Linked DNA regions of Macaca fascicularis. The protein of the gene in region 1 binds, or shares a complex with, the protein of each later gene. Links are inferred from orthologs where the notes say so. Each region holds a gene or a part of one and is shown in the gene's direction. Other genes may lie near its edges.

Evidence for each region. The genes of interacting proteins can lie anywhere in the genome.
Region 2: POLR1B (region 1) and POLR1F share a complex: the UniProt entries of both Homo sapiens proteins name them as parts of the RNA polymerase I (Pol I) complex. The link is inferred for Macaca fascicularis from reciprocal best matches to the Homo sapiens genes POLR1B and POLR1F.
Region 3: POLR1B (region 1) and POLR2H share a complex: the UniProt entries of both Homo sapiens proteins name them as parts of the pol I pre-initiation complex. The link is inferred for Macaca fascicularis from reciprocal best matches to the Homo sapiens genes POLR1B and POLR2H.

The regions. Positions count from the first base shown.
Region 1 is NC_088387.1:19,552,806-19,556,463, forward strand, and holds part of POLR1B (DNA-directed RNA polymerase I subunit RPA2), read left to right. Parts: intron 1-1,598; coding exon 1,599-1,770; intron 1,771-2,988; coding exon 2,989-3,270; intron 3,271-3,658. UniProt on the Homo sapiens protein: Catalytic core component of RNA polymerase I (Pol I), a DNA-dependent RNA polymerase which synthesizes ribosomal RNA precursors using the four ribonucleoside triphosphates as substrates.
Region 2 is NC_088377.1:110,498,602-110,502,359, forward strand, and holds the end of POLR1F (DNA-directed RNA polymerase I subunit RPA43), read left to right. Parts: intron 1-160; coding exon 161-572; 3' UTR 573-3,460; downstream 3,461-3,758. UniProt on the Homo sapiens protein: Component of RNA polymerase I (Pol I), a DNA-dependent RNA polymerase which synthesizes ribosomal RNA precursors using the four ribonucleoside triphosphates as substrates.
Region 3 is NC_088376.1:96,289,813-96,292,090, forward strand, and holds the end of POLR2H (DNA-directed RNA polymerases I, II, and III subunit RPABC3), read left to right. Parts: intron 1-314; coding exon 315-398; intron 399-1,314; coding exon 1,315-1,432; 3' UTR 1,433-1,729; downstream 1,730-2,278. UniProt on the Homo sapiens protein: DNA-dependent RNA polymerase catalyzes the transcription of DNA into RNA using the four ribonucleoside triphosphates as substrates.

The DNA.
Region 1 (3,658 bases):
AACATTTTATAAAATATATTCCTTCTTCCCACACCTCTCCAAAATTTATTCCTTCAAAGTACTGAAAATGTAATATTACTGTACCACAGTGATATTAAATGCAGTGTCAGTGCCAGAGAATATGCAGAAATGACATGTGGCACTTCCAGTGCTGTCTTCTGGAAGAATAGTTAGGTCTTCCAAGCGTGAGTGTTCAAACACTGGTACTTTAAAGAGCTGGGTTATCAAGAGTCAATGGCTAATGTGTTGACTCGGGGGCCTGCTGGAAAAGGTATACCGTGATTAAGTGACCTGTGTACATCTTCCAGGTTTTCTTCCAAATATCAAATACAGGAGAGAACGTATTTCAAACATTCTCTTAGGTGTTTTCAGTGGTTTCTGAACCACCCATAGGAAGCACTGATGGTGTATAGTCTTTTTTTCTTTTATTTTTAGTTGACATGCAATAACTACATATTTATGGGGTATGCAGTGATATTTCCATGTATGTAAATAATGTATAATGATCAAATCAGAGTAGTTAACACATTCATCACCTCAAACATGTATCTTTTTTTGTGTTGTGGACGTTCAAAATCCCCTCTTCTAGCTTTTTGAAAATAAACAATAAGGCTGGGCATGGTGGCTCACGCCTGTAATCCCAACACTTTGGAAGCCGAGGCAAGAGGATTGCTTGAGCCCAGGAGTTTGAGACCAGCCTAGGCAACAAAGTGAGACCCCCATCTCTACAAAAAAAATTTAAAAATTAGCCGAGCATGGTGGCACATACCTATGGTCCCACCTACTCAGGAGGTTGAGGCGGGAGGATCCCTTGAACCTAGGAGGTTGAGGCTGCAGTGAGAAAATATACAACAAATATAGTTAACTTATTCAACCTGCAGTGCTGCAGAATACCAGAACTCAGTCCTCCAGTCTAGCTGTAATTTTGCAATTGCAGGCTGCCTTAACCATTTCAGTGAGTGTTGGCAGCATAGACTAAGATGGGCTGTGTAGTTCGTGTGATTGCTTTTAGGTGTGGACTGTGTAGTTCGTGTGATTGCTTTCAGGTATGGGCTGTGTAGTTCGTGTGATTGCTTTTAGGTGTGTAACAAATATAACGGGTGAAGGAGGGCATGACATTGAAGAGCTATCCTTTCTGCACCTGAAAAGCTCTCCTTCAGGTTTTTGGTTTTGCTGTATTCCATATCCAGTGTATGTTAGTGGACCTTTGTTAAAGGTTGTACAGATTACATGGGAATAAATATGACGTTTGTAATAATTTTATTTTATTGAGAATAGGGTCTTGCCCTGTTTCCCAGGCTGGAGTGCAGTGGCACAATCGTGGCTCCCTGAAGCCTTAGGCTCCTGGACTCAAGCGATCCTTCTGCCTCATCCTCCCAAGTAGCTGGAACTACAGGCATGCCCCACCCCTCACCCCACCCCCTTCTGGCGAATTTTTAAATTTTTTGTAGAGACAGGGTTTTGTTTCACCATTTTGCCCAGTCTCATGTTGAACTCTTGGTCTCAAGCGATCCACCCAATCCTGGGATTATAGATGTGAGCCACCACACCTAGCTCACATACTATTTTATATTAATTTTTTGTTTTTCTTATTTCAGGAAAAACTGGAAGGTTGGTTAGTGTCTATTAAAATAGCTTTTGATAAGAAGGCTCAGAAGACCAATGTTTCCATGAACACTGACAATTTGATGAGGATTTTTACTATGGGAATAGACCTTACAAAACCATTTGAATACCTTTTTGCTACTGGGAATCTGCGTTCTAAAACAGGTAAAATTAAATAGAGCATTTTAGTTATGTTTTTCAAACTATTTGCTTAATGTAGATTTGCCTGTCCTTGACAGGTTCTTTTTAAAAGCAAACCCCCCCAAAAAAGTAAATTTCTCGTAACTATGACTTTGATGACTATTGATCTGAAGGACTTTAGACAAGGTGTCTGTATAGCTAAAATTTAATTCAAATAACCAAATACATTTTCTCTGCCTCCTTCTAGAAAATGAAAAGACCACTTAGACCTCTGAGGAAGGCTTACCTAATAGGAATTCTGCATGGGTTGCTGTACATGCCCATCTCTAAACCAGTTGCCTTGCCTCAGAGTGACCTGAGAGGCCAGGTGTGGTGGCTCATGCCTGTAATCCCAGCACTTTGGGAGGCCAAGGTAGGAGGGTGGCTTGACTAGGAGGTCAAGGCTGCAGTGAGCTGTGATTGCACCACTGCACTCCAGCCTGGTGACAGAGTGAGACCCTGTCTCAGCAAAAAAGAGAATGACCCTGGAAACTTAAAAAGTGGTAATTGGGAACCCAGAAATTTTTTTTTTTTCTTTTTTTGTGAGTCAGGGCCTCACTGTGTCACCCAGTCTAGAGTGCAGTGGCAGAATCATGGCTCACTGCAGCCTTGACCTCCCGGGCTCAGGTGATCCTCCCACCTCAGCCCCACTAGTAGCTGTGACTACAGGCACAAGCCACCACACCTGGCTAATTTTTGTGTTTTTTGTAGAGATGGGGTTTTGCTGTGCTGCTAAGGCTGGTCTGGAACTCTTAAGCTCTGGCGAACTACCCACCTCGCCCTCTTGAAGTGCTGGGATTATAGCATTAGCCACTGTGCCCAGCCTTTTTTTTTTTTTTTTTTTAAAACCCCTGTTACTGATGCCGATTCTTTCATTAGCCTTCTTACTTGCTTGTCTATTATCTGACCCTCTCAGATGAATTTAACTACTTGCTATTTTATTAACTCATTTAATGTTCTCCTACAAAGGAGGTCATAGAGGAGATAGGGAACTAGTTGGGGCTCATACAGTTTGTGAAATCTGGGGATTATTTTACATATTTTTTGCGAACTCTTTCCACTCATCAGAGCTAGGAGAATAAATGTTGTAATAATTCATTCTGTAATCTGTAGAGTGCTCTGAGGTTTTGTCGTCACAAAGCCTCAAAAATTTCCGTTTTTTAAAAGATTGGCCCATTTTTGAGTGACTTTTGTTTTATTAAGGTCTTGGCCTCCTACAAAATTCTGGACTTTGTGTTGTGGCTGACAAGCTGAACTTCATACGCTACCTCTCCCATTTCCGCTGCGTGCACAGAGGGGCTGATTTTGCCAAGATGAGGACCACCACAGTACGCCGGCTGCTGCCAGAGTCCTGGGGCTTCCTTTGTCCAGTGCATACCCCAGACGGGGAGCCCTGTGGCCTGATGAACCACCTAACTGCCGTATGTGAGGTTGTCACACAGTTTGTGTATACGGCATCTATTCCGGCTTTACTCTGCAACTTGGGTATGTAGTGTATAGTGATAAACATCTTGCTTGATTTTTTTTTTGTTTTTTGTGTTTTTTTTGAGATGGAGTCTCGCTCTGTTGCCCATGCTGGAGTGTAGTGGCACGATCTCTGCTCACTGCAAGCTCCGCCCCCTGGGTTCACGCCATTCTCCTGCCTCAGCCTCCCAAGTAGCTGGGACTACAGGCACCCGCCACCACGCCCAGCTAATTTTTTTGTATTTGTAGTAGAGACGGGGTTTCACCATGTTAGCCACGATGGTCTCGATCTCCTGACCTCGTGATGTGCCTGCCTCGGCCTCCCAAAGTGCTGGGATTACAGTTGTGAGCTACCGCGCCCGGCCAAGATTACGTGGTTTTTAACCTGTTAAGTTGTGCTGCTTTTGGA
Region 2 (3,758 bases), on another chromosome or scaffold:
GGGATAATGGGATAGAATATTTGGAATTTATGCCATGGTTATGTGTCTTGTACTGCTGTCATTATTTAGAAAACCTTAGCCTGTTAGGGTATCTTGATCTCAATTTGTTCTTTGTTTTTTGCTTATTGCTCTGTTCATTTTTTTAACTGTTAATTTATAGTTTACGATTCAAGCGCTCTGAAGTTTCTGAAGAAGTTACAGAAAATGGCACTGAGGAAGCTGCTAAAAAACCTAAGAAGAAGAAAAAGAAGAAAGACCCAGAGACATATGAAGTGGACAGTGGTACTACAAAGCTAGCAGATGATGCAGATGACACTCCAATGGAAGAGTCAGCCCTGCAGAATACTAATAATGTGAATGGCCTCTGGGAGGAGGAGCCAAAGAAAAAGAAAAGGAAGAAAAAGCACCAGGAAGTTCAGGACCAGGACCCTGTTTTCCAAGGCAGTGACTCCAGTGGTTACCAAAGTGACCATAAAAAGAAAAAAAAGAAAAGAAAACACAGTGAAGAGGCTGAATTTACCCCACCTTTGAAATGCTCACCAAAAAGAAAAGGGAAAAGTAATTTTCTTTAGTGTCACTAATTTTAAATATGATTCAGTTTTTAAAAGATTGATCGACATACAATTGATGAATAAATGTTTTCAGTGATATGAAATGGTTAAGCATACCAGTACTTTCCAAAACAGAAAATACTGAACTAGGAGTAGGAGGCTCTATGTGCTAAAAATGATAAAACTGACCATAAGTTAAACTGGGGAGAATCAGTATTATTAAAGTACCATTTTATACAAAATAAAAAGATAGCTGCTCTCACTGTCGGCTCTCACTGTCGGCTCTCATATTCTTCCAGGTTTTGCACTCTACATAAAATTATTTCTACAATGTCAAGACTAGCCGAAGGACTTTATAATACAATATTATATGACTGAAGAATGAGTTAAGTTTGAGATTTTGATGATTCGATTTTGTGTGTGTTTAATAGGCTTCACCTTATTACATGCTATTTTATTTTGCTTTTTTAAAAACTCAGGACATTAACTAGTTTTAGGTTTTCCTTTATCATGGCTTCTACAGTATTTCTATTGTTTAACATAAAATGGTTTTCCAAAGAAGTTTCTGAAGTCTTCACAGCTCTTAAAAGCCAGGCCTGGACTGACTGTGTGGTGGTAAATGCTATTCATTACTTTTTTTCTTCCAGGTGCATGTGTGTCCTTGTCTTCTTAAGTCTGAGAGGTTGATGGAAAGGACTGTTTTCTTGTACTTGTTCATTTGTTCCTCAGCCATTCTAATTTTGTTGTATGTTGGAGGAGAGTCTAATGAAGACAGGAGAAATGTGATTCTGACTTGTGGGAAATTCCAGATTACTTTTTAATGATTGGAATGGGCTATAAGATATTGTGCTGAAGAGAAAACAGTTGTTCTGTTCACTGCTTTCATTGAGAAAATGTGGAATGTCTCTTGACTAATTGACAAAGTGTAATGAAATGACAAGCTGGTTGAAGCTGATAATCAATGCATGGCCAAATTTATTCATTTTCCACATACTTGACCATCTACTTTGTATAACACATTCTGCTAAGGCCCAGGGATGTAACGGCAAACAAGATAGATGTAGTTCCTTCCCTTGTGGCATGTCATAAGAGAAACCGATGTGCATATACACACAATAAATAAGAAAATTAATAATTGTGTTAAGTGGAATGAATAAAACCAGGGAGGATTGTTCACTCACTGTTACCTGTGTTAGTATCTGCAAATAGATGAATGGTTGAACTCCCATGTCAGCATTTTTGTTGCCATTTATTTAGTACCAGACATAGTGCTGATCTTACAGCTAAATATTTGGTAATGAACAAATTCTGCTAGTGATATATGTTGATCTGAACTTTTATTGATGGGATACAGAATTGGCAGAGTGGCAGATGTTGGCAATTGTCTACAAGTAGATGTGCTAGACAATGGAAGGGTGCAGGCCAGCCTCTTTGATTACAATTGAGATTCACGTGAGTATTGAGCCCTGGAAATATAGCTCAACCAAATTGAGATGTGCTGTCAGTATAAAGTACATACCAGATTTTGAAGATGTACCAAAAAATGTAAACTATCTCAGTTTTTGTACTAGTGAAATCAGTATGTTTTGGTATAGTGGGTTAAATAAAACAATTTTTGCCTTTCTCAGTTTATTTTTCTACAAAAAGATTAAAAATTGTACATGAAGCTCACATTAACTTTCTTTTGGTCAGTGCTATTTTAAAGGAAGTGTGAGTTGAAAAAACTTTGAAATAAACTGTATCATATTACCAGGACTTAATATAGTGGCATACCCAGGAAATGTTTAATAAATATTCCCTTCACATTTTAAAATTTGAGTATACAATCATGTTTGACAATAGAGAAATTTAATTTTTAGTGAAACAATTCTAAACCCCTTTTCCATAGACACAAAGAAAGATGTCAAATTTATGCTATTGCTGGAAAAATACATTGTGGCTTAGCAAAATAAGCAAGTTCCCACATTTACTTTTGTTTTGCTTCAAGTAATACTTCTGCCAGTTGTGTTTTATGAATTAAACAGGGAGCGGCATGCTGAACTTGAAACTAGATTTGTTCCTGCTTTTTTCATAATGTGAGTAGTTTTGAAAAGTCAGATCTGGCCATTTGTCTTTCCTAGAATATAATAACTTTGTTCATTGTTTTTTTGTTCATCTTTCTGACACAAAAAGACTGATGATGGTGTCTACCATATATTCTTCAAAACATTTGTCACATGCTGCACTAACCTCGTGTATCTTTTCTGTCTTGGAATTTGTTCATATAAACCCTCTAGCCTAGACTAGATCCCTTACCCTCTCTCCAGTTCCTATCATTCACCCATTTCACTGTGCAAGACACCTCACTAGTCACCAGTGATACAGAAATGACTTAACCAGTTTTTGCTCTTAAGGGCTTACCGTTTTGTCTATAAGATACACAACTAAGTATACATGATAAGTACAAATGAAAATGAATGTTTAATGCTTTATGCCTAGTGTTTAAGCTGGTTGTTGGATGAGCAGCATTTTGACCCTTGGAGAAGAAAAACTAACTGTGGCAATTCCAGGTGGAGAACCTGACAGAGGACTAAGAAGTTATCTAATGTAAAAGACCTCAGGCACTACCTTCTTCCATAAACTTTTTCCAGACAAGGCTAAATGTGCATGCTTCATAACCATAATTCTTATTTTTCTTTAATAAATATTTTTCTACTTGTAACACTCTGCATTATTTCAAACTGTTTACCTGTTTGAAAAGCTTGTCTCTTAATCAAATTTGTCTCGACCAAATGTTTCCTGAGGACTGGAATTATGCCTTAACTATATCTATAGTATATCTATAGTATTTAACAGTGAATCCTTTGTATAATGAAAGCATCAACAGATAGTTTTAAATTGATAAATAAAAAGCACAGTTTCAAATGGTATCACTTTGCCTCTGATGTGATATTATTAACCTCTTCACTTGTTTCAATAAATGTATCCTTTTTTTTTTTTTTTGCCTATATGTAATATGGTTTTTAAGGACTTTTATCACTTCAGTGTGTCAGGGATAGAATACTTACAAATGACATGACAGAAATTTGATCTCTTTAACTTGTTTTATACATTTACCACATGGGTCATCTTTGCCTTTTTTTTGCCAAAGAGTAGATATTTTATGTTACAAAATCAATACATATTTAAAAATTCAAATAGTAAAAGTATATACATCCTCCCACTCTA
Region 3 (2,278 bases), on another chromosome or scaffold:
AGTGCAGTGGCTCAATCTCGGCTCACTACAAGCTCCGCTTCCTGGGTTCACGCCAGTCCCGAGTAGCTGGGACTACAGGCGCCCGCCACCACGCCCGGCTAATTTTTTTATATTTTTAGTAGAGATGGGGTTTCACTGTGTTAGCCAGGATGGTCTCGATTTCCTGACTTCGTGATCTGCCCGCCTCAGCCTCCCAAAGTGCTGGGATTACAGGCTTGATACACCGCGCCCAGCCGACCAGTAACCATTTTTAAATGGGATTTTTTATATTGTTAATTACTGTTAAGAATAACTTTGCTGCTATTGCTCCACAGGGCTGACCAATTTGAATATGTAATGTATGGAAAAGTGTACAGGATTGAGGGAGACGAAACTTCTACTGAAGCAGCAACACGCCTGTAAGTTACATAATCTTATGAGGTTCTTTTCCCTCTCTGTGTTCTGAGACTTTGAGCTATGCTCCTGCTTCCTCTGTTGGGTCCCTCTCCTCAGGCACCTCAGACCTAGGTAGGAACTAGAAAGAAATGGTTCTGAGAGCAGTTTCCAGTCTGAAAGGTAGACTGCTCTTTGTCAGGCCCTCCTGGCCCAGCAGTCCAGATGAGAAACTGGTTATCTTACTGTGTAAAGTGCAAAGGAGACTTGCTTCTCCAGAAACAAATGCAGCATTAAGTGATTATCCTATTAGGCTGTGTGTGTGTGTGTGTGTGTGTGTGTGTGTGTGTGTGTGTGTGTGTGTGTGTTTTGCTACTCTGTAACCCAATCCCTAGTTCCTTGGTTTTCCTGTCCAGCTATTTTTTCTTTTCTTTAAAATCTTATTAAAACAATATGTGCTTTTTGTAAGCAATTTGAAATGCAGAAGAGTAATGTGAAGAAGGAAAAAAAAAAGTCACCTGTAATTCCATACCCAGAGATAACCTTTTACATAGACTTTTTTGCATATCCTGGTGTTCTGTTTTTTCCTTTGAGACTGTGGTGTTTATTATGTTTTCTTCTGCTCTTTTTGCTTAACATTATGTAAAATATGTTTCCCCATGTTAGTGTGAAGCTTTTCTTAAATGTTTTAATAGTTGCATAACATTTCAGTAAGTGGATACATCTTGATTCATTTGACCATTCCCCTGATTTGGGGCATATAGGTGTTTTCCACCTTCGCTAATATAAAGAACAGTGCCTTGCACATATCTTGATCTTTGTCAGAATTTTGGTTCCTAGTGACAAAACAGTAGAAAGATGCCTCTTCTTTTTCTTAGGCTGAGATGGAGAGCTGCTGAGTAGCAGTGCTCCAGACTCATGGGATGGGGCCTTCTGTTTCAGCTCTGCCTATGTGTCCTATGGGGGCCTGCTCATGAGGCTGCAGGGGGATGCCAACAACCTGCATGGATTCGAGGTGGATTCCAGAGTTTATCTCCTGATGAAGAAGCTAGCCTTCTGAACCTCGCCAGAAGCCAGCCTTGCTGCCTAGTCACTCAGGTCATCGGCATTGTTCAAGCCTGAGTGGCAGCCAGTCTTGCTCACCTGTTGAGGAGGGGCTGGCTCACTGTCCACTGTGGTGGCATCTTTAACTGGCCTGCACTCAAAGGGAAACTGACTCGCCTGTGAAAGACAGTGGGAAAGCTGCAAATGAATCAGAAGCTTTGTGTATATGATTTTTAAATTAAACTTTACTTTTTCAGACTGCCCCTCCCCTTTTTGTAAAAAGTTCATTTACTGTAAAATCATTTTTTTGCAATTTGTCTGTGGTGTACTGTTTCTGGCCCACAGCCAGCTGATCACTTGTCAATGTAGGATCTATTCCAGCCTTTTGGTATCTGGGTTCAGGGTTATCTCAGTCTCCTGGCTGACTGTTCTCAACATTTATCCTCCAATGCGGTTTTCCGTTTGGGAGAGAGTGTTGTACTTTTGGCTCCTGAGGGTACCCCAGGCCCAGAAGATACCACCCATTTGGCGCGGAATTTTGAATTGGCAAGGAGCCCTGCTCGGGTCCTTCCAGCACTTTCAGGCTCTTAGGAAGTCAGTTCACGCTGACTTGATTGAGTCGCTTGCATAGTCTAGAAATGTTCATTATTTTTATGGAAGATGTGCACAGAGGCTTTTAGCCTTTTAGGCATGGGAGATGACTATGAAGAGAGTAGGAGGAGAGGACTTGGTGGTTCTGGAAGCAGCTGGAGGAGCTGGCTCTCTACATTCCAGTGGGAGGGAGGGTAAGTGGAAGTGGACAGGGCAGCAATACCAATGAAGCTGGCGGGCCAGAGCCAGGACAATGTGGCGGCCTGACTAC